2 separate regions of the Mus musculus genome follow, and region 2 is reported to be linked to region 1. Evidence: microRNA targets listed by miRTarBase, many of them from high-throughput screens and not tested one by one. Region 1 holds a microRNA gene; the other region holds the end of a gene's coding sequence.

Evidence for each region. Region 1 holds the annotated microRNA mmu-miR-409-3p (GAAUGUUGCUCGGUGAACCCCU, at 3,359-3,380, opposite strand). A microRNA usually pairs through its seed, bases 2 to 8, with sites in the 3' UTR of a target mRNA and lowers its output. Matches are read on the target gene's strand: a 7mer-m8 pairs with bases 2 to 8, a 7mer-A1 pairs with bases 2 to 7 and ends in A, and an 8mer does both.
Region 2: miRTarBase lists Nsa2 as a target of mmu-miR-409-3p. Seed matches in the 3' UTR shown: 7mer-A1 at 3,569-3,575.

Annotation. Positions count from the first base shown.
Region 1 is chr12:109,739,532-109,746,583 of GRCm38, reverse strand. Mir409 (microRNA 409) reads right to left here and starts at 3,426; the gene lies at 3,348-3,426. Mirg (miRNA containing gene) reads right to left here. Exons shown (of 8, transcript NR_028265.1): 3 at 4,769-4,894; 4 at 4,294-4,522; 5 at 3,166-3,227; 6 at 2,737-2,918. Mir541 (microRNA 541) reads right to left here and starts at 4,175; the gene lies at 4,086-4,175. It overlaps Mir412 (microRNA 412), which reads right to left and starts at 3,295; the gene lies at 3,216-3,295. It also overlaps Mir369, Mir410 and Mir377.
Region 2 is chr13:97,126,686-97,133,436 of GRCm38, forward strand. Nsa2 (NSA2 ribosome biogenesis homolog) reads right to left here. Exons shown (of 6, transcript NM_021552.5): 5 at 5,158-5,350; 6 at 2,742-4,543. The coding sequence ends at 4,476. Fam169a (family with sequence similarity 169, member A) reads left to right here. Exons shown (of 13, transcript NM_001100458.1): 13 at 1-2,837. The coding sequence ends at 353. Among named protein-coding and RNA genes, the nearest start is that of Nsa2, 7.9 kb to the right of the region's middle.

The DNA.
Region 1 (7,052 bases):
CCTCTTAGGGTCTCCAATGAATTTGGAGTGTGCGTGTCGGTGGTTGCTTGGCACCCCAGCTGACATTCCATCTTGTACATAATACTCCCTTGGTGGCTGAGGTACCTGGGGCTTTCCCCATCGGTGATGCAGAGACTAGGGGTAGCCTATCTGTGGATGCCGTGGTGTGACTGCGCTTACACTGGAGCAATTAAATGGAGAGATCAGCAGCCTTCTTGCACGCGTTTAATATATTCCAAAGATGTGTCATTAACAGCAATTTCCATCTCCAAATGTTCCCATTTGCTTAGGTCCATGCATAAAATATTAGCCCTGACAGCAGCTCAGGCCTGCTGCACGAGGGCCTCTGAGGGGCCTCTGGCTTGCTGCCACGGAGACGTTCACGGAGTGGAGGGTGGGGGTTGTGCTCAGATGAATTTGAAGCCTAGCATGAGACCCCCAGCTACAAAAGTAAAGAAAAGCCCGCAGACATAGCTGACCTGTCTGTCCCCTATCGCTGTACGTCTCAAAAATCGGTGACTAGCTGGGGTGGGAGGCCTCTAACAAATGCAAAGACTAAGTGAACCCAGCTTCTATATTTATGGAATCAGCCACCACATCTTATGGAATTCCTGCTTCATGCTCACCACCTTCCTGGGGATTAACCTAATATGGTTTCTGCCTTTGGGGACTCTATTAGTCAATCAGCACACTCCATTATTCTGTCACTATAGACCTGGCCTGGATCCTAAGGCTTAGAATACAGCAGAAGATAAGTCAGGGAAGTAAGATGGGAGGGAGGGAAGGGGTAGGGAGTAAAACAGAGGAAAGAGAAAAGACGCAAAGGAAAGGTCCTCGTCTGCCTTGGGAAATCTTAAAGCTTTTTTCTTTTCTTTTCTTTTCTTTTCTTTTCTTTTCTTTTCTTTTCTTTTCTTTTCTTTTCTTTTCTTTTCTCTTCTTCTTTTTTTTTTTTTTTTGTTTTGTTTTGTTTTGTTTTGTTTTGGTTGGGGTCAGGGAGAGGCTGGGAACCAAGGTACTAGGCAGTTTGGGAAAGCAGGCACCTGGGGAGCCATAGCTGACAAGCAGTCTGATGTCATATCACAAAGGAAGGAGCTGGATAAGAGTGTCAGGCTGCCTGCACTGTCACTGCAGAGCAGGGAACACGATCCCCTCCGAGTCTTGAACTCCTGTGGAGGGGGCCTACAAGCTTGAGGACCAAGGAAGGGGGATGGACTGTGGGAGACAGTAACCAGGACCAACTCCCAGAGAGAGGGCGCCTGGGCAGACCATCCTGAACAAGAGAAGAAATCTAAAGGAGACCATGTGCTAGGTACAAGCCAGGGTGCGCAGCCACTATCTCTGTTGGAAGAGCATTTTGCTGCTGAGGAGGCCCAGAAGAGGAGAAAAAGCATGCAGGGTGGAGTTGCCAGGGTGAGGGTGCTACTTGCTCCAATGGGGAGCAAGCCCAATCAGAAAGAGCTCTTTGCCACCCTGGGGAGCCTTACTAAATACCAAAAATCTATAGCCTGTCTTTCAAAGGCTCCTACTGGGTGTGATCAGGTACTTTCTGGGGTCCTTGAGACTCTAGGTCAAGCCTCTACAGTAAGCTCACAGGAGTCTGACAGAGCCAGAGTGTTAAGTTGGAGGAAACATGAAGAAGTGCAGGCTACATTGGACACGCAGACTTTGTGTGCCCCGGTACAGGGGAACGCCAGGGCCAAAGGGGGGGAGTGGGTGGGTAGGGGAGTGGGGGTGGGTGGGTAAGGGGGACTTTTGGTATAGCATTGGAAATGTAAATGAGCTAAATACCTAATAAAAAAAAAATGAAAAAAAAAAAAAAAATAAAAAAAAAAAAAAAAAAAAAGAAGTGCAGGCTAATCCCTACTGGGCCCCCTGTGCTCGTGAAGCAGGGACAGAGCTTGGGTATCACTGCCTTGTAGACTCAGGAGGACATTCTGTGCTATTTCCAACAGGGTGGCACTGAGGACAAGACAGGCCAAGGGATGGTCTCACATACAGACTAGAGAGTCAACCAACACAAAGGCTTCAGTTCTTGGCATCAATGCCTCAAAGTAGAAATGGTCTAGGGTAGGACATGGTGCAGAGAAGTAGGCTGTGGGATAGTCATCAGATAGAAAACAAACGTCTCAGAGACAAGCTAGCTCAGGTACCACCAGCACGGACTCTACTTAGGATGCTTCTTCCTCTAAGATGCCCTTCTGGACTTCCCAACCCCCACCTCAGGAGATGTGAGGCTCTGGGTCAGGATGAGTCAGCTACATGCCTGACCATCAGTGGTGTCCAGTGGGTCAGCAAAGTGTGTCCCTCCCCTGACACCCATGCTCACACAGTAAGAGCCAATGATAAAGAGAGGTGACCATGCACTGTACCAGCATTAAGAATGGAAACCCGTCACGGGCAATCTCACCTCAGATACTAGGAACTGCACGTGTAACCAACTGGCCTGGCTCTTCCCTAAGTATCATGCTAGCCCCTCCAAGCCCTCATGGTATTGAGAAGCACCCAGGGTACAGGGCATTTGAGCATGCAGCCCTCGGTGGAAGCCTTAGACAGGGACAAACACCCATTGTTGTGGCGGGAAAGAGGCATGGAAAGTGGACAGCCATCCATTGCACATCTGGCCAATGCTTCGTGGCCCAGCCTACAAGGTTGGTGCGATCCCAGGAGGCTCCTCAGAGCTGAGGTTCAGTGAAGAGGGGGTGACAAGCGTCATACAGAGTCCATGCATTTACCTACCGGGCAGTGGTGTGACACCTGGTATGTACTGCCGAGTGACCGGAGTGGCAGGTGGTATTGAAAACAGGCCATCTGTGTTATATTCGTCATTAATAAAGCGAACTCATCACAGACAACCTCTCCTCAAGTACCCAGTGTTGACCGCAGCAACCCTGGAGCTGGAATCACCACCTGAAGCTGTCCTGGGGGGAAGGGGGGGATTGCATATAAATGGTGAGTAGGGTTGACACAGGCAGCACACAGCCTGTTCCACCCAGCCCAGTTCCCCGCGGAGGCAGCAACCTAGAAGCACCATGCTGTCCCCACCCCCACAGGGGCTGCAACTCCAAGAGCTTCTCCAAGCTGAGCGTTGATACTGAGAAAAGATCAACCATGTATTATTCGAAGTCAGCCAAGCGAATATAACACGGTCGATCTCCCTTCAAGTACCAGCAGAGGTGTTGAGCTGAGGCTGTGACATCCTGGGCGCAGGCTGCAGCGGGCACCGACGGCTAGTGGACCAGGTGAAGTACATTAGAAACAATTACTTTCCAGCTGGTCGACCATCCGTCCCATACCCCAGAGCGAGATGAGTCCATGGTCTTCCCTGAGGTGGCCTCCCTGGAGGGATTTGATACCGAAAAGGGGTTCACCGAGCAACATTCGTCCTCCAGATGCAAAGTTGCTCGGGTAACCTCTCTCCGAGTACCACGGAGAGGCTCGGATGCTCAGAACGAGGCCGATGGCTGAGTTTCCAGAAGAACCATCCTGGAGCCCCTCAGAGATTATAACTCCCCATTCAGTGAGGAGCCACCCTCCACCACGTGAAAGCAATTATTCCATCACCTCCCCAGTGCAATCTACCACCCTTTCACCTTCCAAGAATATCTAAAGCCTTCCCAGACAACCTTGAGACCCAGGTAGCGAGGAGCTGACTCGGGGCAGAAGTGGGTGCAGAACTCTGCTTACTCTATCTCTCCTTTGTAAGCTGGAGATAGGGAGATGCTGAGACCCTGCGCATATACCACACCACCCTCCCAGAGACGATGCCTTCCAGAAGCGAGGAGGCAATGACTGCATCATCCAGAGATGCTCCTCCTTGGGCCCACCCAACCACTGCAGCCCCACGACCCTGGCATCCCCGCCCTGTCACCTGCCCCCTCCCCCCACGGTGATGTCATAGCAAGAACTGCTTGACCATCCAGTCCTATAAACCAAGCAAGTAATGCTTCAAAGATAAACATGGAGGGAGGAGAGAAAGAACAGCGGAAGGAGATCCCGCAGGGTCCCCTTGTGCCAGTGTGTATGGCTGCCCCGCACGAGCACGCCAGGGAGGGCTCTCCAGTAAGGGTCAGGATCCATTGACTTAGGCCATAAGCAGAGTATGGATTCTGTGTTCGCCACTCATTTTAAAACTCTTGGAGTGTGACCAACATCAGAATCCCTTCTCTGATTTTGGCAAGAGTTCACACAGGCTTCTAGCCTTGCTGCAGGGCAGCAAGAGACTGGTCACATGCAGTGTGTCATACGGGGAAAAGACGCCACGGGCAGCTTCATGTAGGTGTTCTGGAAACTGACCTGTGGGACAGAGGCTCTTTCCCCAGCTGGCATCACCTCCTGGAAATGCTCCTAAGAGGCACACAATGGCGATGATGGTGGCTAACGGTAGCTACAAGATCCAGTCAACAGTATGGGGAGGGAAGCTTGTCCAGGTTCTTCCTCCAAGCACTTGTCCTGGAGAGAGCTCCAGCCACTGACCAGTTCCAAGACAATGATGTAGCCTCTGGAGTCCTTTGAGGTAAAGATCCTTTTGGAAAGAGAGCCACCATGAAACCTGGTGCTCATCACACCCCAGATAGTATATTAGACCCTGGATACATCCACTCTAAAATGACCTCCCGTACGGGCCTAGCCCTTCAGCACCAACAATGGGTACGTCTTTAAGCCTAGCCCTGGGAGCTGGCAACATGGAAACCCAAGGAAGGGCAGGCCCTAGAATGTTCCAGGTACCAACTGCTCGGCAAGAGCAGACTCCCCAGAACCAGTGTCTTACCCGGAATGTTTCATGAGGATCGAGGAAAGTGAAGAAGACTGCTCAGTGGGCACGTGCTCTGGCACTGGTACCCAGTCACATCCTCCAGGTGACACCCGCCAGCTTCTGAATACTCCATGAAGCTCTCTGTAAAGGTTTGGGATGGGAAAATAAAGTTTAGCCACATTAAAAAAAAAAACCCACATGGTGACCAGTCCTTCTTATCACCCCACTAGCTCTAGTCTATATCCATAGATTTCCCCATCTCAAACACCACACCCACATTGATTTTCATAAAAAAACATGCATTTCTTTCCTTTTTTTTTTTTTAAAGTAAATTCCATTAAACTAATCCAATTCCCTGTTTAGCTTCCTTGACTGTGCTGTTGGGCCATTTTCATTTCTTTTATTTCCCTTGTTATTTCCTCAAATCATTTTCATTAGGATCAATTCTTTCCCATTTAAAAATCTGAACGAAGATTTGATTCCTCAATGTGCGTTCATCTACCACAAATATTACTGCTCATAGCATCCGCCACTACTGAAGCTGCCCCTTGCGGCTGCCATGTCTACAGAGTACTGTTTCCCCAGGTCAAATGTCGCAGCTCAAATGTTGTCAAGAAAATTGGATTCTTCTGCCAATTTGTAGTCAATTGAACACATTTTCCTCCAAGCTATTCTGGTAGTTTGTGGTGTTATTTTGTGATTATTTTATCACTATTATTTAATGTAAACGGGATGAAATGCTGGTCGCCTCTATTCATTTCCTAACCCATCCAAAAATGGAGAACAAGGTTTGGTGAGCGATGAGGACGAAAGAGAAACAGACAGAGGTGTGTTGAGGGGGTGGGGTGGGAGGGGGGAAAAACAGATGGTATGTGAGCACTCCTGACCCAGTGAGTTGAGGAGAGGAAGGGGGTGGGGAGGGAAGGCTGCCATTGTCCTTGACACTGTCAAAGGACAGAGTTCATTTTGTCAAGGTATCTTCAGAGTAGAGATAGAACAGCGAGTGTGTCTGCAACTAGGGGGGCTAGGTGCTGGTGTGACAAAGAGGATTCAGGCTGAGAAGAGTCAGGGAGTAGATATTGGCATCTCTCCATTGGTTCCTGGGACTACATGTCTGGTCACGTGGCGTTCTGAGCCACACCCCTTCCTGACCATCCCCATATCCACACCTTCCATTCTAGCACATGACATTTGCAGAGACCCCAGAACTTTGTAACGTGTCCCCAATGCCACCCCAAGCAGGCTTTGATACTCAAACAAAAGTTGCCTTTGTGTGATTCAACATCAATAAAGCGAATTCACCAAGGGCAACCTCTGCTCAAGAATCAAACGTCAGCACAGGCCGAGAGTTGAGCAGGGCGCCTCTTCCCCAGGCAGCCCTGCCTCCCTCGGCTCTGGCTCCCTGACTCCCACCCTCTAGGGAGGCTGGCATTACCTCCGATGAGCCCCCAGGTCCAACTGCAAAGCAGACTAGCAATGGACTGACTTGCAGAGTTCTCTCCTGCCTACAGGTGGCCAGAGACTTGTACAGACATCCAGGCTTTGGCCAGAAACTGGTCACTCACCCAGAAGCACACGGACACCAAGTCTGAATCCCAAAGTGTTTCTCCTAGAGAAGTCCTGAGGTAGGTTTGACATAGAAGAAACCATGACTCTCTGTGTAGTAGGGTCCATCCTGCCCACCAATGAAGGCTGACCTAAAAGAGGATAACTCCCTTTCCAAGGCAGTATCCTGAGAGACCGCACAGACAAACCAGCAGCATCAGGGTACAAGGTGTCTGCACCGTCCTCTATTCTCTCTGGCTTCTGAGAGGCCTCAAAGAGGGTTCAACAAAGAAAACATGTCCAACTGCCATTCACTCAGCATCATTCGTCCTGTGTGCACCTACGAGCATTAGATGGGGTTTCTGAGCTCAAGGAACCTGTGTTCTAGAGGGTGGGAAGAGATCCACAGAGTAAGGACATTCATGCAACAACTATCATTATAAAAGCCAATGGTTTTCCAACTTTCTGGGGGAAACCAGGCACTCTCAAAATACTGAACACACATTCAGCGTGAATACATACCTTATAAGCAGCCATTAACACTCTCAGACAGACAAACGGAGGCACAGACAGGTGACAGGCTGACTCATTCAAGGTCACACCATTAGCAAGCATCGGGTGGTAATGAATGCTGCTGGGTTCTCTCCTTCCCAAGGGACACTGGAGCAGGGAAAGGACATCAGCATTCTCATGTCACTAAATGTCACTGTGAGCCACCTCTCCCCATTCACCAGCCTGACATCTGGTTCTACTT
Region 2 (6,751 bases), not on the chromosome of region 1:
CCGAAGAACCAGTCTCTCAGAATTTATCACCCAACACTACTTCCTCAGTGGAAGACCAGGGTGAGGAGGGAGCACCTGAGGCCCAGGAACCATCGGCTACTCAGAGTTCTCTGATAGAGGTAGAACTTGAAGACGCGCCATTTCCACAGAATGCAGGACAGAAGAGCCAGTCAGAGGAACAGTCTGAAGCGTCCTCTGAGCACCTGGAACAGTTTACACAGTCAGCAGAGAAAGCTGTGGATAGCAGCTCAGAGGAGATTGAAGTGGAAGTTCCTGTAGTAGACAGGCGCAATCTGAGAAGAAAGGCCAAAGGGCATAAGGGCCCTGGCAAGAAGAAAGCCAAGCTGACCTGAATGAAGGAGCAATGCAGTTCACACATCCTCCTTGTTGTTATTGTTGTTGTTTTAAACTGCAGTAATTAATAAACAGCATGGGGCACAGGACAGATTCTAAACCTTCCACTGGAACTTATTTACACATGCAGGTTTTCTCTTTCCTTTAGAACAAGGATTCGCTGTTCTTTTTCATTTTTCAGGCTATTTTCTCTAAGTAACTTTCGTTTATGAACCATGTGTCAATTTTGGAATTCCAGGTCATATTCTTCTTCAGCAGGTGGAGCATCTAATCATTAATATTTTAAAAATACAACTTAAAAAGAACTATTAGACTTTGATCATAGGAATCTTTTATACTAAGGGTTTTAATGGTAAAATTTGGTAAGGATTCTCAAAGTTTTATCTTAGTATCAAAACAATCTCCATCTTTTAGGTGTAAGCATACCTAAACAAAAGGAGTCAGTTAATTAAATATAGTATCAAGTTAGAGAACAAAAAATAGAAATTTATGATCAGTGGTTTATGAAGATGGTTTTTGTTTTTATTTCTTAATGTTAGTTGTAGATGGAGTTCAAGTCTGTGAGAAGTACTTTAGGCTGCATATCTGGTGTTAGTACTGTTAAAGATATAACTGTGGTGTGTGGGTACATAATTTAAATTTTAAATTTAATACTTCCACATGAAGTATTAGTTTGCTATAATTTTTTTCTCTATATATTTTCAGATGCTGAAAACCTTGAGTACACTTTTATCTTTTAAACACCTCAAGTAATTGAAGTTAATATATAGTTGAATTTGGACTGTCGTCCTGATCACAGATAGTGCAGAAGTGTAGGCCCCTCCCCAAGCCTCCTTAATTCTTCACTGCTGTCTCACTGTGACTCTTCTATCAACAGACCTCCACCCAGCTTGCCTGTTATGCCCTGTATCCATATTTGGATAGGTCTAGAACTCAATCCAAACACCTTTAGTCCTAGATGGAAGGAATAAAGCTGCCCAGTGAGATGTACAAATGCCTAGATTCTGACTCTGCGGTCCCTTTGGGTCTTGTATACTTTAAGACAGGGTTTCTCTGTGTAGCATTGACTATCCTGTAAACCAGGCAGACCTCCAGCTCAGATCTGCCTCTTCCTGCTGAGTGTTGAGATTAAAGACATGCAGCACTACCACCTGGCTATTTGATATTTTAGAAATATTTAAAAAAAATGACAATTGGTTTTTAAATGGTTATTAGAATTCATAGAAAATTGGTCAGTGGCACTTGGGGAATACCACATACTTTGATTTGTATTTCAGTTAGAGACTATTTTGAGACCAATTAGAATTGTTTTTGAAACAGCTTGAACCTTGTGAGAGAAATGTTGAGAAATTGAGTCATGAAGTACTTGTGAGTTTATGCTCAGTCATTTCAGTCTTTGGTCAGCTGATTGGTGATTTCATGTCTTACATTTTAATTTAGGGATGTTGGTATTTTAGAAAAGTCTGATTAATTAGTTAAGACCTTAAAGCAGCAAACCAAATAGCAAACCCTTGAAGTTAGAACACTTGCACTTACCTGTTGTTTTAATTTTGGCTAGATGTTAGATAATTTCATTCTAAGTGAAAATTATACTTTGACCATTTTTTTTTTTTTTTTTGGTAAAAGCTGTTATAAAATAGATTTGACTAATTAGTAAATTTGCCAAATGCTGATGCTGTTTTACACGTTTAGAGAAATTTGTTAATATCTCAACCAGGGATAGCATTTGAAAGGCATGTTAAGATTCAGAAATTGATTTTTAACACACATTTAAAGTTTTCTGGATATGTTGTTTTGGTATTTTGTTTTGGCTCCTGTTCCCCTTCCATTACTTTTTTAAATGAGTGTTTTAGTAGATTGCACTCACTGGCAGCTCAATGTATGAATAGTCTCTAGAGTTAAAGAAAAATTTTCACATACCACACTGGGTACTAGCAGTATAAACTTATATACTTCCTAAACTTGTTTGATAAAGATGGGATTCAAACATTTTGCTCTGCATACAAGAAAACTTGTTACCTTGTTGTCTGTGACAGAAGTTAAAGTTTGTATAGATCATAGAGGAAAAGTTAGGTCACAGGAAAAAATCTTTCATATTCAGTAACATGTTTATATAAAATTTGTAATAATTTATGTTCAGTAGGGAATCTAAACAAATGTAGCAAGGCATGAGGACTGCAGAGATTTCAAGCAGCTGTTTGAGTGCTCTGTCCCGTTGTGTAGTCTCCTGTGAACTGGTACTTTCTGTTTCGGAGTCATGAATGTGGAGAAGGAAGCTCCCTTCTGGTGTATATACATATATATTTCCTTATGTAACATAGCAGAAGTGTACTACCAGAAGTTTAGTTCTACTTTCAAACTTAAACTGTTAGACCACACAAAAATTTATTTAAGAATTTTATTGTAAAGCTCCTTTAAAACTTTTAAAGAGATTCTATTATGATTTTTTAAAATAAAATCAAATGGCATGACTTAGAATGTCAGTCTTCTCTGTGTGTTCACATTCTTCCACTTTGTGTCTACTTTCCTTTTACCGTTGATTTGCAGAGGCTAAGGAGGACTTCTAGTCACTAATGGTCTACTTTGAACAGGTGACCAGTGTAGTGTTACCTAGTGGTTTGTGACTTTAGTAGACCTTTAAGCCCTTCTACCAACTAAACATCTCTGAAGTTGCTTCTCCTTTGGAATTACCTAAGCTGTGGTCACACCAGCAAACTGAAACAGATTTTGATGTAAATAAGGAATTTGTACTAATACTACTCATGTAACTATTTGAAGAGAGCAGCTTTTGCTTTGATGTCCATTTGCAATCTGGTGGTTCTGGGCGTGGTCTGTTACAGAAGTCATGCTTGTTTTAATACTTCCTCCCATGACTTTTTAGTATACGACAGTTTGCTAGTTTCAATCCTAAAAAAAAAAATAAGCAAATGTACTTCAGCAATAGCCACTGATCACCTGGAGTCAGGCTTCCTTTCACCGTAACTCAGGCAGATAAATACACATTGCCCGTTCTGATTGGTAGACAATGTTAAAATCTAATTATAAGAAAGTGAAGTCACTCTGCCTTTCCTGGTCAGTCCTTTCCAAGGAACTAGGCCCGCCTTTTCCTTTAATATCTTTGTATGTTCTAAAAACTTTAAAAAAAATATTCAGAATACCAAGTCTTATGGAGAACTTATGGTTTGTTTCTTTGCTAGGGTTTTTTTTTCCCCCTTAATGTTTAAAATAGTAATTAAACTTGTGTTTTGTGATTGTTTTCTAGTCTTGTGTTTTAAATTTCCTTTCCTCTGAGTTGCATTCATGAAGATGTGCTTAGATATTAGACATTGAATGATTCTGTTAAAGGCACAGCTAATCACACTGCCTGTATTATGAAAGTAGATTTAAAAAATAAACAATTTAAAGCAATATGGTGATTACAGATTAATATACAGACACTCTTAAGAACGTGGATTTAAGTTATAACCCCAAATCATGACCTTTCAATCTAATTAATTGCCACATCTCAAGTCACTGGTACATGGTGGAGAATTATCTAACCCAATTGTTCACATTGTTGTAGCAGTAGTGAGCGAGCTCCCTATTTTTAGAATATAGGAAATGGAGGAAGTACACTGGAGGTCACTGCAGTACTATATAAGGTATTAGTTATGAGTGAAAGCACTGAATTGTGCACTCTTTTCATCTAATTTACCTTCTCTATGACTTTTAATCTACTTGTTTATGAATTTAAACACTACCATGTGTTTAAAATGTTCCACATTTTAGGATTAATGGCAACACAATGGAAAATACTTGACCTTTACAGGAACTTTCAACTATTCTGATGGCTTTTCAATTGTGACAGACTTGTATTGCTGCATACATAGTTTTTAGTATGCTTCTGTGTCCTTGGCTACTCAGTCACTAAATTTTATTAACATGTAAACCGTTATGCCCCAAACTAAAGACCAACTGTCAAACTGGGCAGTTTTATTTTCCTTTACAACTTAGTAAATGCTTGATGACTGCACATGAGGTAAGGCTGCTCGGTGGTTCAGAAAGACCCCAGGGACGGTGTTTTCCTGACAGGGTGTGGTCTTCAGCAGTGAGTGGAATGACGTGTATGAGTGACGTCACTGTCAGACCAGCAAGACCGCATTTATGCACCCATCGTTCTCAGGATTGTTGGTAACTTGGGCGTACTTTCCTAAGGAAAGCCAAATCAAAGGAAGAAAAGGAGTTAGCAAAAATCAGCTTAAAGAAGAAAACTTTAAATCTCACATTTCTAAATACCCTATTCATATAAGAAATGAGCAGAAGATCAGCTAATTCAAGAATAAGTTACGTTCACAAATGGCAGCCAGCTCTATTTTATCAATACATTATGTTACTGTTAACTTTTACAGTGACTTTCTTTTCCTAAATGATTTTCAAATCAGTGTAACACCTATTTTAAAACATATCTTCATTTTCAAACATATGAGCAATAAAAGTAGGAACTAAATCAGTGAAAGTTTCGTTCCTCATATCTCCAGCCCAACTGCTGAAAATTATTAGAAAATTGTTAGATACTTTTTAAAAAAATTTTATTTATTATTATATGTAAGTACACTGTAGCCGTCTTCAGACAGACCAGAAGAGGGTGTCATATCTTACTACGAATGGTTGTGAGCCACCATGTGGTTGTGGGATTTGAACTCAGGACCTTTGGAAGAGCAGTCAGTGCTCTTAACCACTGAGCCATCTCACCAGCACCTGTTATATCTTTTAACACTCAGAAAAGGACTACAGAAAAGCAACACCAGACTTATTTTTACTTACCCCAAATCACCTTGCCTCCTTGTGTCACAAGGCCCAGCTCGCTCACATTCACTTCAATAACTGTACCTTTGGTGATCACACCCAGGGTTGTATATAATGGGGACGATGGATTCTTTTTCACACCGAGAATAGGCAGGCAAAAGGTAGCTTTCAGCTCAGGGTGTGTGACATGGGCTTTTTTGAAACGTAGACCCTAAAAATCAAACATAAAAATGCGTCCAAATGGTGAGTAGAGTCTTTAGAATCCTCATCTTTTCTAATTATCTCTACAGGGGATGAATACTGTCTTAAAACGTCAGAGGAAATACATTTCTACAGATTAAAAATCGCATAGTGGACAGGAAGAAGCATACGCAATCCAAAATGGGTTATCCCATGTACGACCATTATGTCAACGCTTGTATTTTTCTTTGCTCATCATACTTATTGAAGGAAATATGCCAAACACGGCCATAGCTCACTAGTGGCTCGTTTATACATGAAAACCGTATAAAAGCCCTCTATTTTCACAGTCAATGATGAAGCAAGGTCTGCATACAGCCTTGAGCTTTGTTTCCAGATCAAATAATACATGGTAAATAGAATGAAACCTACAAGTTCCAATTTCAGGAGTTGAAATACCAGCCACCTTGAAAGATGGGAAAGAAAAAGGAATGGTAGACTCTTAGCCTTCTTTATGTAGGAAGTAACATGATTCAAAGACTGGAGAAGAGAGAGGACCTTGTTACACAGATGTCACCCAGTCACCTGAATGGGGCCCTGTGAGCACAGTACTTTAAATTTCAGAACCTTTTAGCCTTCATTTTACTTATGTAGGAATGGAAGGAAAATTGTGTTAGATTCCTTGTTTTGGAGTATTTGTGAGAACCTTTCTTCCCTGGAAAGAAAAAAGATACTAAAATATATTTCAAAGATTATGAATACAAAATCAAGGGAATCAATAATATATAGTCCAAGAGTATTCTTGGCTTTGCAGCCAGACAGTCTCTGGCCAGTAACTGAATTGGAGGAGGAAAAAATTGCACTCTTCAAGTGAGCATGGCTGTTAGCAGTGACTACAGCATTTGAATGCTAGGATCAACAGCATTCCTGTTCAAAAAGGATTCTGAGAAAACATAGTAAGTGTCATGCTTTTCAAAGCAGGAGAAACTCAGGGGTGTGGGAGAGCCTAGGTTTGGCAGGTAATCACTGCTCTCAATAGGAATCTAGCTACCTTACATACTGCACCTTATAAAGACAAAATAATTACATATAGATGTTTTCAAACGCAGTAAAAAAGACATCCACCTCACTAAATCTTAGCTGAACAGTCCAATGCTCTTTGGTCTTCCGGCTAAGACCAAATGTAAGCAATGTTCCCCTGTCTAATGAGTTGTCACAAAGGCCCGTGTTTGAGGCCTAGCTCTTCAGGCATATAGCAGCTTACTTACTGAATAAGGAATATATAACTATAAAATAAAAGAGTCTAATGCATCATGTTTAAATACAGTATTCACTGGCAAATGTTATACAAAATCATTTCAAATCTATTATGAATCTGATATTAAGATTCAGCTGAGATTCATGGAAAAATAGCACAAAATATTGTTCAAGC